4 linked regions of the Arabidopsis thaliana genome follow. The protein of the gene in region 4 interacts with the protein of the main gene of each other region in a pairwise test. Each region holds a gene or a part of one and is shown on either strand. Other genes may lie near its edges.

What was found.
Region 1: the proteins of DRNL (region 4) and LSU2 interact in binary tests that used the Arabidopsis thaliana proteins (3 or more experiments, as listed by UniProt).
Region 2: the proteins of DRNL (region 4) and AT3G56270 interact in binary tests that used the Arabidopsis thaliana proteins (3 or more experiments, as listed by UniProt).
Region 3: the proteins of DRNL (region 4) and ROXY2 interact in binary tests that used the Arabidopsis thaliana proteins (3 or more experiments, as listed by UniProt).

Annotation. Positions count from the first base shown.
Region 1 is NC_003076.8:8,442,572-8,445,961, forward strand, and holds LSU2 (response to low sulfur 2), read right to left. Parts: upstream 1,531-3,390; 5' UTR 1,186-1,530; coding exon 901-1,185; 3' UTR 708-900; downstream 1-707. UniProt on the Arabidopsis thaliana protein: May be involved in defense responses monitoring. Probably implicated into osmotic stress signaling.
Region 2 is NC_003074.8:20,867,993-20,872,633, forward strand, and holds AT3G56270 (WEB family protein (DUF827)), read left to right. Parts: upstream 1-2,007; 5' UTR 2,008-2,227; coding exon 2,228-2,428; intron 2,429-2,722; coding exon 2,723-3,862; 3' UTR 3,863-4,115; downstream 4,116-4,641. Other genes in the region: AT3G56250 (uncharacterized protein), read left to right, coding at 90-164; AT3G56260 (uncharacterized protein), read right to left, coding at 207-800.
Region 3 is NC_003076.8:4,540,171-4,543,253, reverse strand, and holds ROXY2 (Thioredoxin superfamily protein), read right to left. Parts: upstream 1,475-3,083; 5' UTR 1,340-1,474; coding exon 917-1,339; 3' UTR 669-916; downstream 1-668.
Region 4 is NC_003070.9:8,713,764-8,717,198, forward strand, and holds DRNL (DORNROSCHEN-like protein), read right to left. Parts: upstream 1,616-3,435; 5' UTR 1,547-1,615; coding exon 626-1,546; 3' UTR 602-625; downstream 1-601. UniProt on the Arabidopsis thaliana protein: Required for correct embryo patterning and cotyledon organogenesis. May positively regulate the gibberellin signaling pathway leading to germination, hypocotyl elongation, and leaf expansion.

The sequences.
Region 1 (3,390 bases), on a different chromosome or scaffold from region 4:
TTGGTTTTTTGTGCACAACTTGCTTATATAAATTAAGTTGGTATTACAAAAGTACACTTAAACACAAAACATTTTGTCAGAAAATCCGTTTTATATGGTTAGAAAGAAATACAAGATAACTATTATCATTCTCATAATTCAAAGAGATCTCCTCTCGGATCATCAGTTTCCAAGTCTCTCCAAAGACAATTCTAGTTATACTTCAAAAAAAAAAACATTATAAATATTTGTTTGTTTTAATTGCATCACAATTTATGAAAAATTAAAGGGTTTTGGTTAACAAAAAAAAAAGACTAGACTTGTTTGCCCACGTCAGGTCACCTGGTTCTGTCAGAAACTAGATTTGTTCAAAAACAAACCCTTTGTTTATATTTGTACATAGTACACTGGCGTTGGATCCGTATATTCGTTTCCCTTTTTTCTCCCAAAAGCAAACCAAGTTCTCCAATTTTACTATGTCAAACTCTAGAAAGACCAAAACCACTGTTGCAATGTCAATGATTCAGTAGAATTCAAACACTTCTTCATATAATACGCAAAAATCTAAAAGCAAAATCTTTATTTGTAATTTGGTCATTTCACATATAATAATAGGAAACATGACCATAATTGCTTTAAATTTTCTTTCTGTTAAAGTAATTTACACGTCTTACAAACAAAATTCCATTTTAGTCAAACCAAACATCGAATATCATTTACTTTAAATTGTTTTCAAGACTTTTCATTCATCATTAATCGCAAAAATCAATCGGTAACAACATCGATTTTTTTTTTTGATTGAAACTTCCATATTTGTTTTAAAGACAACTCTACATATTGGCATTGATATGAGCCGATAAGAGGATACATCAAACAATCTAAAAAACCTATCTTTCTTTAAAAGCAAATATCTATCTAATTCTACGGAGAGGCAGAGGCAGAGTCTGAAGAAAGACGAGAGAGCTCGTTCATGAGAAAGATGATACGAGAGTGGTAATCACGAGCCTGGTCTAAAGATTCTGCTTCAAGCTCGGCTAGCTGTGAGCAGAGACGCTCCTCCGCTTCTTCCGCCACCTGTGTCCGCCGCCACAACTGCAACATCTCTTTCTTCATCTCCTCCACAGCTTTCTCCATCTCTCCGTTCTTCCGTCGTAGCTCGTCCACTTCGGAAGCCGCCACCGTCACATAGTTTCCTCCTTTCCCCATTTTTAAGAACTTTTAAAGGTTTTCTAAAGATTTCTCCTTTTGGTTATTTTGGTCACTTTGAGTTTTTTTGTGTTTTGTTTTGGTTCTTGAACGTTCCTTATTAATAGGCGTCTTTGAGACTGGGGTTTGGGTGGGTTTTATGTCTAGGTTCAATGTATCTATATCTCTTCTTCTTCTTTCTTATTTCTGGTGAGTTATTTTCTTCCTCTAGATTCTAGAACATTTTCTCTTTTAAATTATTTTCGATATACACGTTGGGTCCAATTAATATTTTGGAATATTTTAGTGGTACCATATAATTGTTTTATTGGTTAGAGACAAATTTGTTTTTAGAGGAGACACGAGATAAGTTATAATAAAAATTTATCAATCAATATAGTAAAATGTATTGGTTCAGTCATAATAACTCTTGTCATTTCAATAATACATATGGCAACGGATTTAAAATGAAAAATATTTGTTTAAACTGATATTTTTTTTTTAAAATGGAGTATTTGCTTTCTAAGAATGAATAAATTTCTTTGTCTAATTGAATAAAGTGGATTAAAACATATTTTGGACCATTTTACTTTGATCTAATTGCTATACATATAAAGTAATGAATATTTCATATTTACTGGACCATAAATACTAGTAATTCAATCTATTTATACAAGTCTAAACTGTAGCTCGTAAGTAAAAGTAATGAACAATTCTTACATTATAGCCCCAATGAGCTGTCAATTTCATCAAAGACAACTATATGTTAATAGATCATAATAATACATCGTCTTAATAATGGTCCTAAACTCAGGAATAAGTTGTGCAAATATGTTTTCATATACGCATGTAAAGAAAAGATTGTGACTATTATTGAAATAACATGAGTTATATTTATATCCACCAACTCTTTATCCTCAAAGAGGATATATATATCCGCTGTATTATGCTAACATTACCATTCTTGCACTTGAAAAATGACTTTAATTAATTGAACATTTTATTACCATGAATTGAACAAAATTTCTGAAAATTGCTTCTGAAGCATCCAATTTTCAAGATTTTATATATTCATTCTAAAAACTTAATTCAATAAACTCATGTAACAACAAACTAATCGTTGAATATATTTTCTTCTCGAGAACGTTGACTGGACACTAAAAGAATGAAAGAGTAGTACTATTTGAATTTTCAATGAAACCCCACTTATTTCAAAGGGGAACTTCTTTTTTTTCTTTTTTCTTTCTTTTCTGTTTTGCTATTTCATAGAATATAGAGAAAATAATTGTTTTCCACTATTTCTCTTAATTGCTAAAAGGCATGTAGAAATCATTTTCTCACCTTTATATTTTCCACTAATATATTCCGCCAATTATAGCCATTAATTAACTTGGAGCAAAGCCTTTGTCGATGTAACCCACATTCCCACTTCTTTCTCTTAACTGGAGTATTGGACAATATCTCCCAAAGTCAAGGGCTGTCACGATTATACAGCTATTCTTGTATAGTTAAAGTTACGGCTACGATTCATAGTTCTTAAATTACTTATTAGCTATTTCTTTAGTATCTTTATTGGTGTGTATGGGGAAAACTAAGAAGACTTTGGTTATGAATGGTGTCATGAAGCATAATAAAATAATACGGTGCGGTTTGATTTTACTCTTGGTCATGTTTTTGTGAATCATATTTGGACAACACACCAACCTCAAGAAGTAGGGTGATTCAAGTATAAACTGAAAAATCATAAGCGTTAAATACCGATTAATACAATCATATATATATTTCGAAACTTCAAAACATTAGTCAAAATTTGATAACTCATTTATCCGTTACTCGCACCAAACTAATTAAGATATCTATTCAGCTTTTGTTCTATTCGTTCTACACCATTTATTCTTTACAAACTACATCTGTTATGCTTTATTTGTCTGTTCGTTTTGTTCTATACGTCACCTTATGATGTGTATCTTCGTTTTCCTAGCAAAGGTTGGTCCAAAAAAATTGATGGCCCGAATCAATATTGTTTTTTTCTCTCTTTTTAGCTATAATTCAAAATCTTAAACAATATTGGTTATAAAATTATGTAAAGTTGTGTTAAATATATTGGAAAACACAGAGGGACCGGTCACCAACTGTTGAAATCTTTAGTTGGAATATGCTCTATGGATGCTGATCAGTGACCACTATCTAATTGACTAAAAAAATAATCATCATTCATCCAAAATA
Region 2 (4,641 bases), on a different chromosome or scaffold from region 4:
TTTATAATATTTAACATCGTTTCAGTGGGAGAACGTTCTTGGTTCTACTTAGACATGAATTGACGAAAAAGCCTGTCCACAATACACAGGTAAGGCCACGACTGAGAGACAAACTATATACTTACATTCACACACCAATAACTATAACACTCTCTGTTCAATGAGGCGAAGCAGCTCATAGAAAAAACCAAGCTTTATTCACATAATCAAGCTTTATTCATGTCGCTGATGATTAGAGCTTTACCTGTGGTCTCATGTCTCTTCATACCCTCCATTGACCCAGAGAACAGAGCTCTTGTCACACTCCCCATTGAAGAACTACAGCCAAGTCTTCCCCCGTTGGAGCAACACAGAGTCGAGGTTGGTGAAGACCTAAGCTCATCCTCTTCGTAGTTAGCGTACAGAAGTGGCGATTTTTTGTCGTGACTCATACGTTTTTTCAAAGAATGTGGTGGCGAGGAGGAAAAGGAAGATGAAGATGACGTAGAAGACCAAGAAAACGATGAGCTTGCCGTCTTCTTGCTACCGTGATTGCTCCTCCTGAGATCACTGAACATGGAGAAGGACAGAAACTTACTTAGTTTTGATCTCACCTTGCTTTGCGTCCTTGGTGTCGACAAAATCCCGGAGGAGTAGTATGAGGGCGGCGGTGTGAGAGGCAGAGGAAGAGAGGAATCGGAGCAGAGGTGGTTTTTGGGTGTTCCTGGCCTTGACTCCCATATGAATGGTATGGAGGCTCCGCCATAGTAGGAGGATCTCTCTTCATCGATTGCAAAGTCATCTTCTAGTCTTTCTGACATCTGTTTTTTATAAACTCTCGGTTTATGTTTGAGTCGGCTTTTGATGAGAATTGATGTACGAAAATTGAAACAACAAGTGCTAGTTTCGAAGCTTCTTTAGAGGTGACAAAGAGTAATATGTATTGCGAGTAAAACAAGTTTGCCGATGAAACAAAAGAATCTTCTTTGCACGGTTGTATATAATCGTGGATATTTATTCTGCTTTTTTATTTTCTTTAGGAAAAATTCATATGGATGAGCATATTACAAGTATATGGAAGATCATACATAGGGGAAAAAATTGGTTAGATAATAAATGAAAGGTGGCTATCTTACTGTATGCATTACTTAATGCGTTTTCATTAATAATAAGAGAGTCGTGAGGTGAGGATCACATTATTGGTAAACAGTTACTGTAGTAAGCATTGCTTAGAGTATTTAATATGTTACCTTTTGTGGGATTCCACTCTATAAACCTTTTTATTTGGTGTTCTTATAATTAAGGAAATAATTATTGACCAACAAATCCACACGTTTTAATATATATCAAGACTACTAACCTTGTTTGTCGTAATTTGAAACTACTGACCAAAAGTTTGGGGCATGTTCATCCAAAAGATATAATGGTTTACATTTAATGAAATGATAATTTAGATAGGATATAATAGGGAACTACTCAGAGTGTCAGACCAAACCATCTGAATACGTACCAATGTCAAGTGCTAACTGGTAACTCCCAACAATAGTAATTAGAAAAGATATATATATTTGTCGGTTCTAATTAGTTGGAAGAAACGTATGCGGAGAAATAAATAGAAACGTGAGAGATCGAAAGACGACGGTGATGAATTTGGACGGTTGAGTGAGGGAGGTCGTATAATTTAATGGTCGTTTCCAATCGTATTCGTACGTGGTCCGTTTTCTCCTACTCGGATTTTGCTTTAATGTGATGGCCACACAAATTGGTTAGAAAACTATAAGGGAAAGCTCCACCTATTTATTTCACTCATACATTTACTATACACTAATATCGCACGGGAAAATTATAACAATTTTCGGATATTCGTATTTGAACAGAAACAAACAACACATACGTAAGAATTTCCTTCACAAAAAAGCCCAATATAGACGAACTTGAACTTCGTACCAACGGCCCAATATCGCTTCCTTAATCAACGGCCCAAAATTTTCATTTATTAATTAATCAGATAACCAATCAATAGAAGCCACGTCGCCACAGCCATTAGTAGTAGCATCATCAAAGCCTGCATTCTTGTTCTTCGAGTCTCTCTCGTGAGTGACTTTCATTACCGAGAAAAACACAATCATAGAGAAGCTCTCAATCTTGTTTGCTTCTGATCAGTAACTATGATTACTGTAAATAGATCACTCTTTCATTATCTTTCCCTTTCACTTGTACAAACCAATTCGTTCTCGAGCTAACGGAAATGGCGGAGAGGCAACAGAGCCCTGCGGCGGAGACGATTCCCGGTACACCCGTAATCCGGGAAGTGAGAACCGGAACCGGGTCCGAGAATTTCAACCCGGAGAATACAAGGAGAGGATGCTTGAGAGCTGAAATCGACATTTCTCCACAGTTATATGGTGGTCGTGGGTTCTGGGTTCCCTTCAATCTTGAAGACAATTACGTGAGTTCTCTTCTAGTTTCCGATTTACAAAGTCTGTTCATTTAAAGTTTGAGCATTAATGTCACTGAAAGTTTGAAATGTATGTTCTCTAACTGTTAAGTATGCTAACAAACTGAATAACTGATAGCTGATTCGATTTGGTTACTGAGTAGATATTTTGTAATAAGTGATAGCTAATTTGATGTTTGCATTTGCGGCAATTGATTCTGGAACTAGCAAGATGTTATGTAAGATTTTTTTTTGGTATTATATAGCATGATTTGTTTTATGTTTTTTTGGTTTGTCATTCTTCAGGACTGTGTGGGAGAATTTGACATAAAGAGAATGGAAGAACAGACAGTGGAGCTTGAGAAGGATCTGATTATGAAAGAGTTAGAGACTCTGGATCTTCTTGAAGCTCTTGGATCAACCAAAAGGATTTTTGAAGATTTGAAGTGGCAGCTTCAGCAGCAAGCACTGAGATGCAAGGAGACCCCTCAACATTTGCGTTCACACTCCAAAGAGATGGTCGATGAGCACTGCCATCGTAATCCCCTGAAGTCTCCGGATCTGATGACCATGGAAATGAAGCAAGCTGGTATGAATCTTTGTAAAACCATGGATGATCTTGCGTTGATCCACTCTTATGCTGAATCTCTGAATATGAAAACGAAGGAAGAGAAAGATGTCCTTGGAGTAGCGTCTCTAGCGGAGGAACTTAACAGTTTGAAGTTTAAACCAGCAGGTCCTGATCAAGTAGAGAGATTCAATACCGAGAATTTACCAGTGAATCCACAATGTGAACAGATTAAGATGGTAGTTGAAACCTATGATACAGCTTTCCATAAACAGAGCAAAACCTGCCCGAGAACTGCAGATATGAGATTGGTTGCTGCAAGAAAAATGGAAGAGGCAGCAAGAGCAGCGGAAGCACTTGCGCTTGCTGAAATGACCATATTATCCAGCAGAAGAAACCAAGACGCTCTCTGCTTCCCTAAGACACCATGTTTTCCATTAACACTTAAAGCACAGATGAACAAAGAATTATCCACCAATGTCTCAAGAATAGAGATCTTGAGGAAGCTGGAGGAAGCTAACGAAGAAGTTAAACAAAGTAAACAAGCCTTGGAAGTTGCGTTAAACCGGGTAGAAATCGCTAGTGTGAAGCAACTTGAAGCAGAAGAGGCATTTCGGCAGTGGAACATAGAGTCATGGAAAGACCAGAAAGCTGTTGGAGCAAAACGCTCGATGAAAAGAGAAAGCTTTCCTCAGCGCTCTTTCTTGAGCCATATCAATCAGCACGAGCCACTGATCGATCTCCCTGAGCCAATGCTGAAACGTAACGTCTCAATGGGTAATGCTCTTAACCGAAAAGATGAGAAACAGTTGGTCACGCCGAGGAGAAAGTTTAGGTTCATACAAACACATCAAGCTTCCATTAGAAAAACAGAGTAAGCTAAAAAAATACCCAACCTTTGAAAACATGTTTTGCACATTTCGATTCCTGTTTTTTTTTATTCTTGGTTTGATCATTGATGGGTGTTGTTGCTTCCATCAAAAGCAAAACACAGATGATTAGAGTGAGATGTGTTGTTTTGACTCAAATGTGACAAAAAGAAAAACATTATAGTAAAAACTAAAGCTTCTAGTAATCATAATTAATTATGGGAGTTAGTGAAGGGCATTGATCATATGATTTAGGTGGTGGGCACTTTCTTAACTAATGCATTTTAAGTGTTAGATTAGCTAATTAGGTGATCCATAATCAATACCGTAGGTCCTCAACTGTTTATTTTTTAATAACGTTGGTCTTTATAATGTTTCTAGATTCTCAAAATAGAAACTGAAACATTCAGGTTGAACTACGGAGATAAAAACACATTTTACGATTTGACCAGTTTGTACTTTATACTGTATAAGTTTGGAGTGGTCAGATACAGAATGATGACGTGGTCAAGGCTTTTAAGACAATCTAGATATCTCCAATAACTTAATGCCACGTGTTTTAGTCTTCACAACAAAGATTTCGTCTGGAATCCTCGTATTGGCTTAGAGCGTGGGACCAAACGAAACCAAAAGAAGGAAAAGGAACTAAATAAATAAATAATTAAAAAATAAAGTTGAAAAGTAAGAGTGGCGTGGGTTAGCAAAATCATTGTCTCAGGCTAAAATGTGCCACTCCCAACACGTGGGCTACTCTTTTCCAAGTGTCAACTATCTGACGGTACGTTTGC
Region 3 (3,083 bases), on a different chromosome or scaffold from region 4:
GGCAATTAGATTAGATTCCCCAAATTGTATTTCCCTTTATTCTGTGTAGATTCCTATACTGCTGTAATCAAGATCTCTGGGTGACTTACACGTTACGAGTCGTTTATTGTCTACGTAAGAATTATTCTAATGAGTATAACTTATCTCAAGGTATATATGCTATTTAGTTCCTTCTTTTACTCATCATGGTAATTGATGAGCCCTTTAAAGTTGTAATGGAAGTGAAATGTTTAAAAACCTTCCAAACTCAGATAATGTGACCTTGTAATTGTAGTTTTCTTACAACTTTGAGAAGAAGAAAAAACAAAGAAAAGGTGACATGTGATTGTATGAAATATGAATGACTGAAGAAGTGTTCTCTAATTTGTTTTTTAAAAGCAAAAATGAATTAGGAAGGAATTGATAGCTGTAAAATCAGTGACGTTATTGGATGATCATGTACGGGCTCTTCTTGACGCAACGGTCGGGTCAAAATCACGGATTATTGTTAGTGGGTCTCCACGTAATCTGGAGTGGGGACCCCTCATGAGGTGATTATTTCCCCCACAAGTTAACAGTTATAACGGTTAAGATTTTAGGTCATGAAAATAACCTCCTCGTTCTTGTCTTAGTTTGACCTTTAATTTTATTTTATTTTCATGGCAAATTTTTATTTGTGAAAAATGACCATTAAATTTTGCAAATCAACTGTCAAATTGTAAAATTAGAGATAAGAAAGCTAACAAGAGACATAGCGATTAGTTAACATTTATATATTAGTGTGATTTAAGATAGACAAAGAGCTAAGCTTAAAACAAACGCATCACTCTTCTCTCTCACTGTCTCTAATTCAACACTGGGATTAACCTATTTCTTCTGTCCTTAAAAACCAAAGATAAACCAAAGGTTGATATTTGGAGGATGAGATTAGCACTCATCAGAGCCAAAGAGCGCCAGCATCTTTGAGAAGAGGGACGAGTGAGCCATTGATATGTGAAGCCATCACTCTCTCCATTGCTCCTACCATCTTCCCTCCGATGAACACCACCGGAAGTGCCCCCGGAGATGTGGCGCCACCGCTGGAACAGCCAAGGAGACGGAGGAGAGCTCGGTGGATTTCAACTCCGTAAGGGAGGAGGTCGAGCTCGTGGACGGCGGGGCTGACGCCCATTCCACGGAAGAGACGCTTGATGGCATGGCACATGCAGCAAGTGCTCACGCTGAATATAACCACCGCATTCTCTGCCGCCATCGACTCTATCTTCGCCAGTGTCTCCGACGGAAACACATTCATGTTGTTCATCACCTTACTGTTGTTGTTGTAGGACAACGACCCTCGAGTTTCTGTTTTGTATTGCATCTTTTTTTGTATTCTTAGAGAAAAAGAGAAAGAGAATAAGAGAGTGAGAGAGCGAGAGAATTTGTGTGAGAGTTGGTTGGGGAGAGAGTGAGAGGCATGCAGAGTATTTATACATGGTGAAGTTCTAAATTTAACTGGTAGGTTTTAATTTATTTTAAAATGGCATATTATTAGAGAGGATATGCCAAATGATAACAAAGTTATTGATGTGATAGTCATGGACCATCATGGTTGCTAGCTTTTGTTATGATAGGATGATATTTTTAAGAGACATTTGAGTCCCATTTAAGTATAATTATTTATTTTTTCAAGATTTTACAACCATATAAAAGTAGAATATTATTCAGTTAAATAGGTTAGTAGAATAAGGGAATTGTTGGTAATGGATATATCTATCCTTCTTGTCGGCTTTTTCTGTAATATCTTCTTACACATTTACACTAGCTAGCTAGTTTTTGTCTGCGAAATTGGTCCAATATTATCAAATACAAATGGTCCAATATATGCATATATATAAATACAAATGGTCCAATATTCATGTGTATATATATATATTGTATATAGAGACGCGCCGAATAATAAATTTGATGCTGCCAACATTATGTGAGCAAGTCGTAACGCAGAGATGAGGTCGAATGTTTGGATATATGGCCGGTGGTTTTCCATTATATTCCGTATTCACTTTATGCTCTCAAATCCTCTCTAATCAATCTCTATAAACAAGCTACATATAATACCATTATCAATATGATCGCAAAAGGAGTGGAATATATATTTTGGATTGTGTAATCCAATTAGCATCTCACAAATGTAGCGCTAAACATATATACAAGTTGGAATATCTTTTGGTGATCAAGATCGAATTTCGTAACCATTTTATTATTCTTAGCCCCTAATGGGATATAGAAAATTGGCTAGTTAATGTTATATAAAAAGAAATAAAGGAGTCATCAATATTCTTGAGAATGAACTTTTAAAAGAGATTGTAGTTGCCAACAGTGTTTAGTTGCTTACCATCAGAATGTCAGTGTTCTTGATGTATGGAAATTACAAGTTGGCATGTGTTCTTGGTTTGCTACCATCTTTTTCTTTATATATGATTATTAAATGTTGTGAATTCAGTTAGACAAAAATGTATAGTTCCATATATATATAGTTTGGATTTGTAGATAATTTTACCAAAAGGCTGAGAAAAAAGGTTGAATTTTACAAAGTTGGTCACATGCTTTTTTGGCTTTCATGCATGCTTCTGCCTTCCTTTTGTTATCTGCAAAATTTGCCTTCTTGTTTCTCATGTTTGACCAACCCCTTCCATAAAAAGGAAAAATGCTAAAATAAAAACATTTATCGTTGTCAGCACAAACAACTTGTTATGAAATTTGTAGGTACCCAATCTGCAATATAGAGTCACCTCTCATCGATTGATTATATATGAATAATATCCCTAAATTATTCATATTCTATACATCGATCTATTTGAGAACATTTCTGTTACTTTTTAAGAAAATAAAAGAAAGCTTAAGATATGGGTATATATAGTTTAAGTGAGTCCGAAGAGTTAAATGTCCCTTCATTGGTTTAAGATTTGGTGTATAAACTAATTAAAGCTGATTTATATGATTTGGAGGACTAAATCTTTGTTCTTAAGATGATGATAAAATAACAATCTTTGAGGGATTGCGTTTGTCGGACCACTTTATCATATATTATATGGAAAAAATTGGAAGGCCGTTACAGAAGCCTT
Region 4 (3,435 bases):
ATCGTTCATATCACATCCACTAGAAATTCCAATATTTAGAAGATCTCTTGGATACTTGAAGAGTACCCCTAAAGATCATAATTGGGATATGGTTTTTTTGAATAAGGGTTATAAACATTGATGCAAATTCGAGTCCTTAAGTATATGTTTACTGAGTTTTGATGGTGCAAATACTTTAATGGACAAAGGATTTTGTGAACCTAAATATAATTATGCCCTTACGGTGATCTGAGAGGGAAAAGGGAAAGAAGAAAAAGCAAGAGGACAAAGGCTGTCTTTATGATTCTGAAGTCAACTTATAGAAAAGAAAAAAAAATCTTAATTTGTTCAAGATATATATTTTTGTCCTTTAGGTATTGTCTTCATCCAGCACCTCGAGTATTTTTACTTTATTTTTGTTATTACCTTTGCTCATAACCGACATATGTCATACACAATTAATTAACTTCGCTCATACTCAGATAAAAATTGTTCTTTGCTAAAACATAGAGATAAATTGATCATAGCACTAGACGAAAAATTAAAAGACAAAAGATTTGAGTTAGTTACCCTTAACCTCATTTCTTACAACCCTAAAGAAACTGTGAAGTGATAAGCACGTAAAAAGTAGAACAACAACAATATTCTAATAATCATCATGAAAGCAATACTGATAAAACATTCCACCATTTCCGTTCTGCTGCATCTTAGCTGAATCAAACCCATTCTCATGATCAGCCCAACCTAACTCTCCATGATATTTAACCTGACCGAATCCGTTTCCTTCGACATGGAAGTCAGCTAAACGAACATCTGTCTGAAAACCGCTCTCTGGCATCGTCGGGAAAACACCAACCGACTGTTGGTTGCTCTTTGGAGGTATAGAAGCATGTTGAGAGATAGGTTTTGGTAAGAAGCCTTGAACAATTTCTTGAAGAAGACCAGAACTAGCTGGTTCTGGTTCAAAGATATTTGATATCAGGCTCTCGTTCTCAATGGTACTTGACCTCTTAGCTTTAGGCGAGAGATCTTCACAGACATCGTTGACGTTAGTGAAGGACTCGTGAACAACGTCGTTTACGTTAGAAAGATTACAAGGCGGGTAAGCGAAAGTGGTTAACGGAGAAAGAGACTGAGAGTTTAACACGTCTCGTAGAAGGAACATATTCATTGGAGGAGACGAGAAAATACGGTGGTGATAAGAGTCGAGAGAAGGCATTGGGTAGACGAAGTTGGTTCGAGCTTTAAGACCACGCATGGCTCGAGCGGCGCAGTCATATGCGCAAGCTGCTTCCTCGGCCGTGTCAAATGTTCCGAGCCATCGTCTCTCCTTGGACAATGGGTCCCGTATTTCAGCTGCGTAACGACCCCATGGCCTACGCCTCACGCCTCGGTACCTTATCGTAGAGACACCGGAAGCGCCGGCGCCGGAGGCAGCTTTTGCGGTAGTTACTCCTCCGGGAGAGCCAGGAGCTGTCGAGGAAGTTCTTGATGGCTTTCTTTTCAAAGAATGGATGTTGGTTTCTCTGTGCTCGGCACCTTCGAGTCTCATGATTGCTTCTTCCATGGTTGACCTAAGGGAAATTTTTAAAGCTAAGAATTTTTCTTTTTGTTCTGTGATTGTCTTAGGGTTGTGAGGCACCTGAATGTGATGATAGCTGATTACGTATTTATAGAAAATAAAATATACATTTTTATTGTTTTTAATTTAAGATGGACCTGACCCAATATATAATTTAAAAAAATGGACTTGCATTGCATCTTTTATTGACTTGTGAGTTGTGAATCTATGAGAGATGCAGAAAGCAAAAGTACGTTTAACGAAGTTCTTGTTCCACGTTCGAACTTACATGTCTTTTCTTTTTCCTTTTCTACGGACTTGCATAAAAGCAGTTATAAGTTACATATTTCATGTCTTTTTGACAAGTAACAAATTCATAATTATGATGTACTATTTTTATCTTAACCCTTGCACCATTCTTTCTTATTGTCAGAGTATAAAGGTCCTTTGATACTGTTGATTAAAGGTCGATTTATTCTTTTGTTTTAAGTGAAAGACATGAATATATTTCAGAAAACTTTCTTGAACAATTTACAAATTAAAATTATAAAATCATTGATTTCATTTATTTTTGAACAAATTCAAAGGTCATCGTTTTCAGCTATTTCCGTTGGTCATATTATTCTTTAATCTTTACGCACTTTTCTTTAATTGTGTTTTGGGAAATAATCAATGGTCATTAATTTATAATAATAATGAATTACAGTAATAATAATAAGCAATAGAGTTAAAAGTGATTTATACAGTAGTTTGTGGAAGGGAAAATTATGATGTTGGAGTTGAAGCTTAAAAGGAGAGGGTTGAAAATCGTGAAATTATGATTCTGAATTAATAACACTGGCGGCGCGCAGAAATTGTTCCTTCTACATGAGGTTGTGTTTTGTCTGTTCTTTTTACGAGATTATGGTCGATTTGCTTATTTAGGGTTTTGCTTTTTAATCTGTAAACCAAAGTCACGTGGATTTGTCTCAACTAGGGCTCTTTCTTCATGGTGTAGCCTCTTTAGGGCTTTCCTACTGTAGCTCGATTGTGACTAATGACCCTTTGCGTTTACGGAAATCAATCTCCACCACTAATTTCGTATATATATGTTTGATAATTAATGTAATTTCGCATTTACATAAAAAATAATCTAAATCTCTCTCACATTCTTGATCAATTAATGTCTGTAAAGCTCCATTCATATTCGAGCCCTAAATATAAGGGTTGAATGCAAAAAAAAAAAATCCGTCAAAAAAAGTTTTATCACGCCTAGGAGAAAAAATTATCAATCGTCTAAATATAAGGGTTGCATGCAATTATCACGTATGTTATTATGTTTATCACGTAATTATTGACATATATCGCGTAGGAGAAAAAAAATATATCAACGCAGAAGTCTTTTAGGAGTGTCTAAATATTTTGCCGTTGTTATATATATAACGATTTACAATCATATCTAATTGCATGTAATTTTTTTTTCATTTAGGTTGTGCCGCGAAAAAATATGCAGATTGAAAAGAAAAAAATAACAAACAAAAAAATGGAATAAATATGTGAGGCAAACAAAAACAAAACTATGTTTCCTCAACAAAACGTTGGCAAATCATGTCTACAAACAGTAGATGTTGAAGGAAGAGAAGTCGTGAGCTCCTTGTGGAATTAGTGGATTATGAAGCTGAACACCACAGAGCTCAGTTTGTAAGGAATCGAAATCACTTTTAAAAAATGTGGAAATTTGTGGAAAACTTGAACCTATATAACGGTGGTATCAACTTGTACGTACACGGTACAACATATCAACAGAAGATTAATTCATGAAGTAGTTTGAATAATCGGCTCTAGCTAGATCTTTAATTCATAGAAATCAGACTAATATTCTAAACCTAAACGATATGGACGTCAATTTGTCAGAT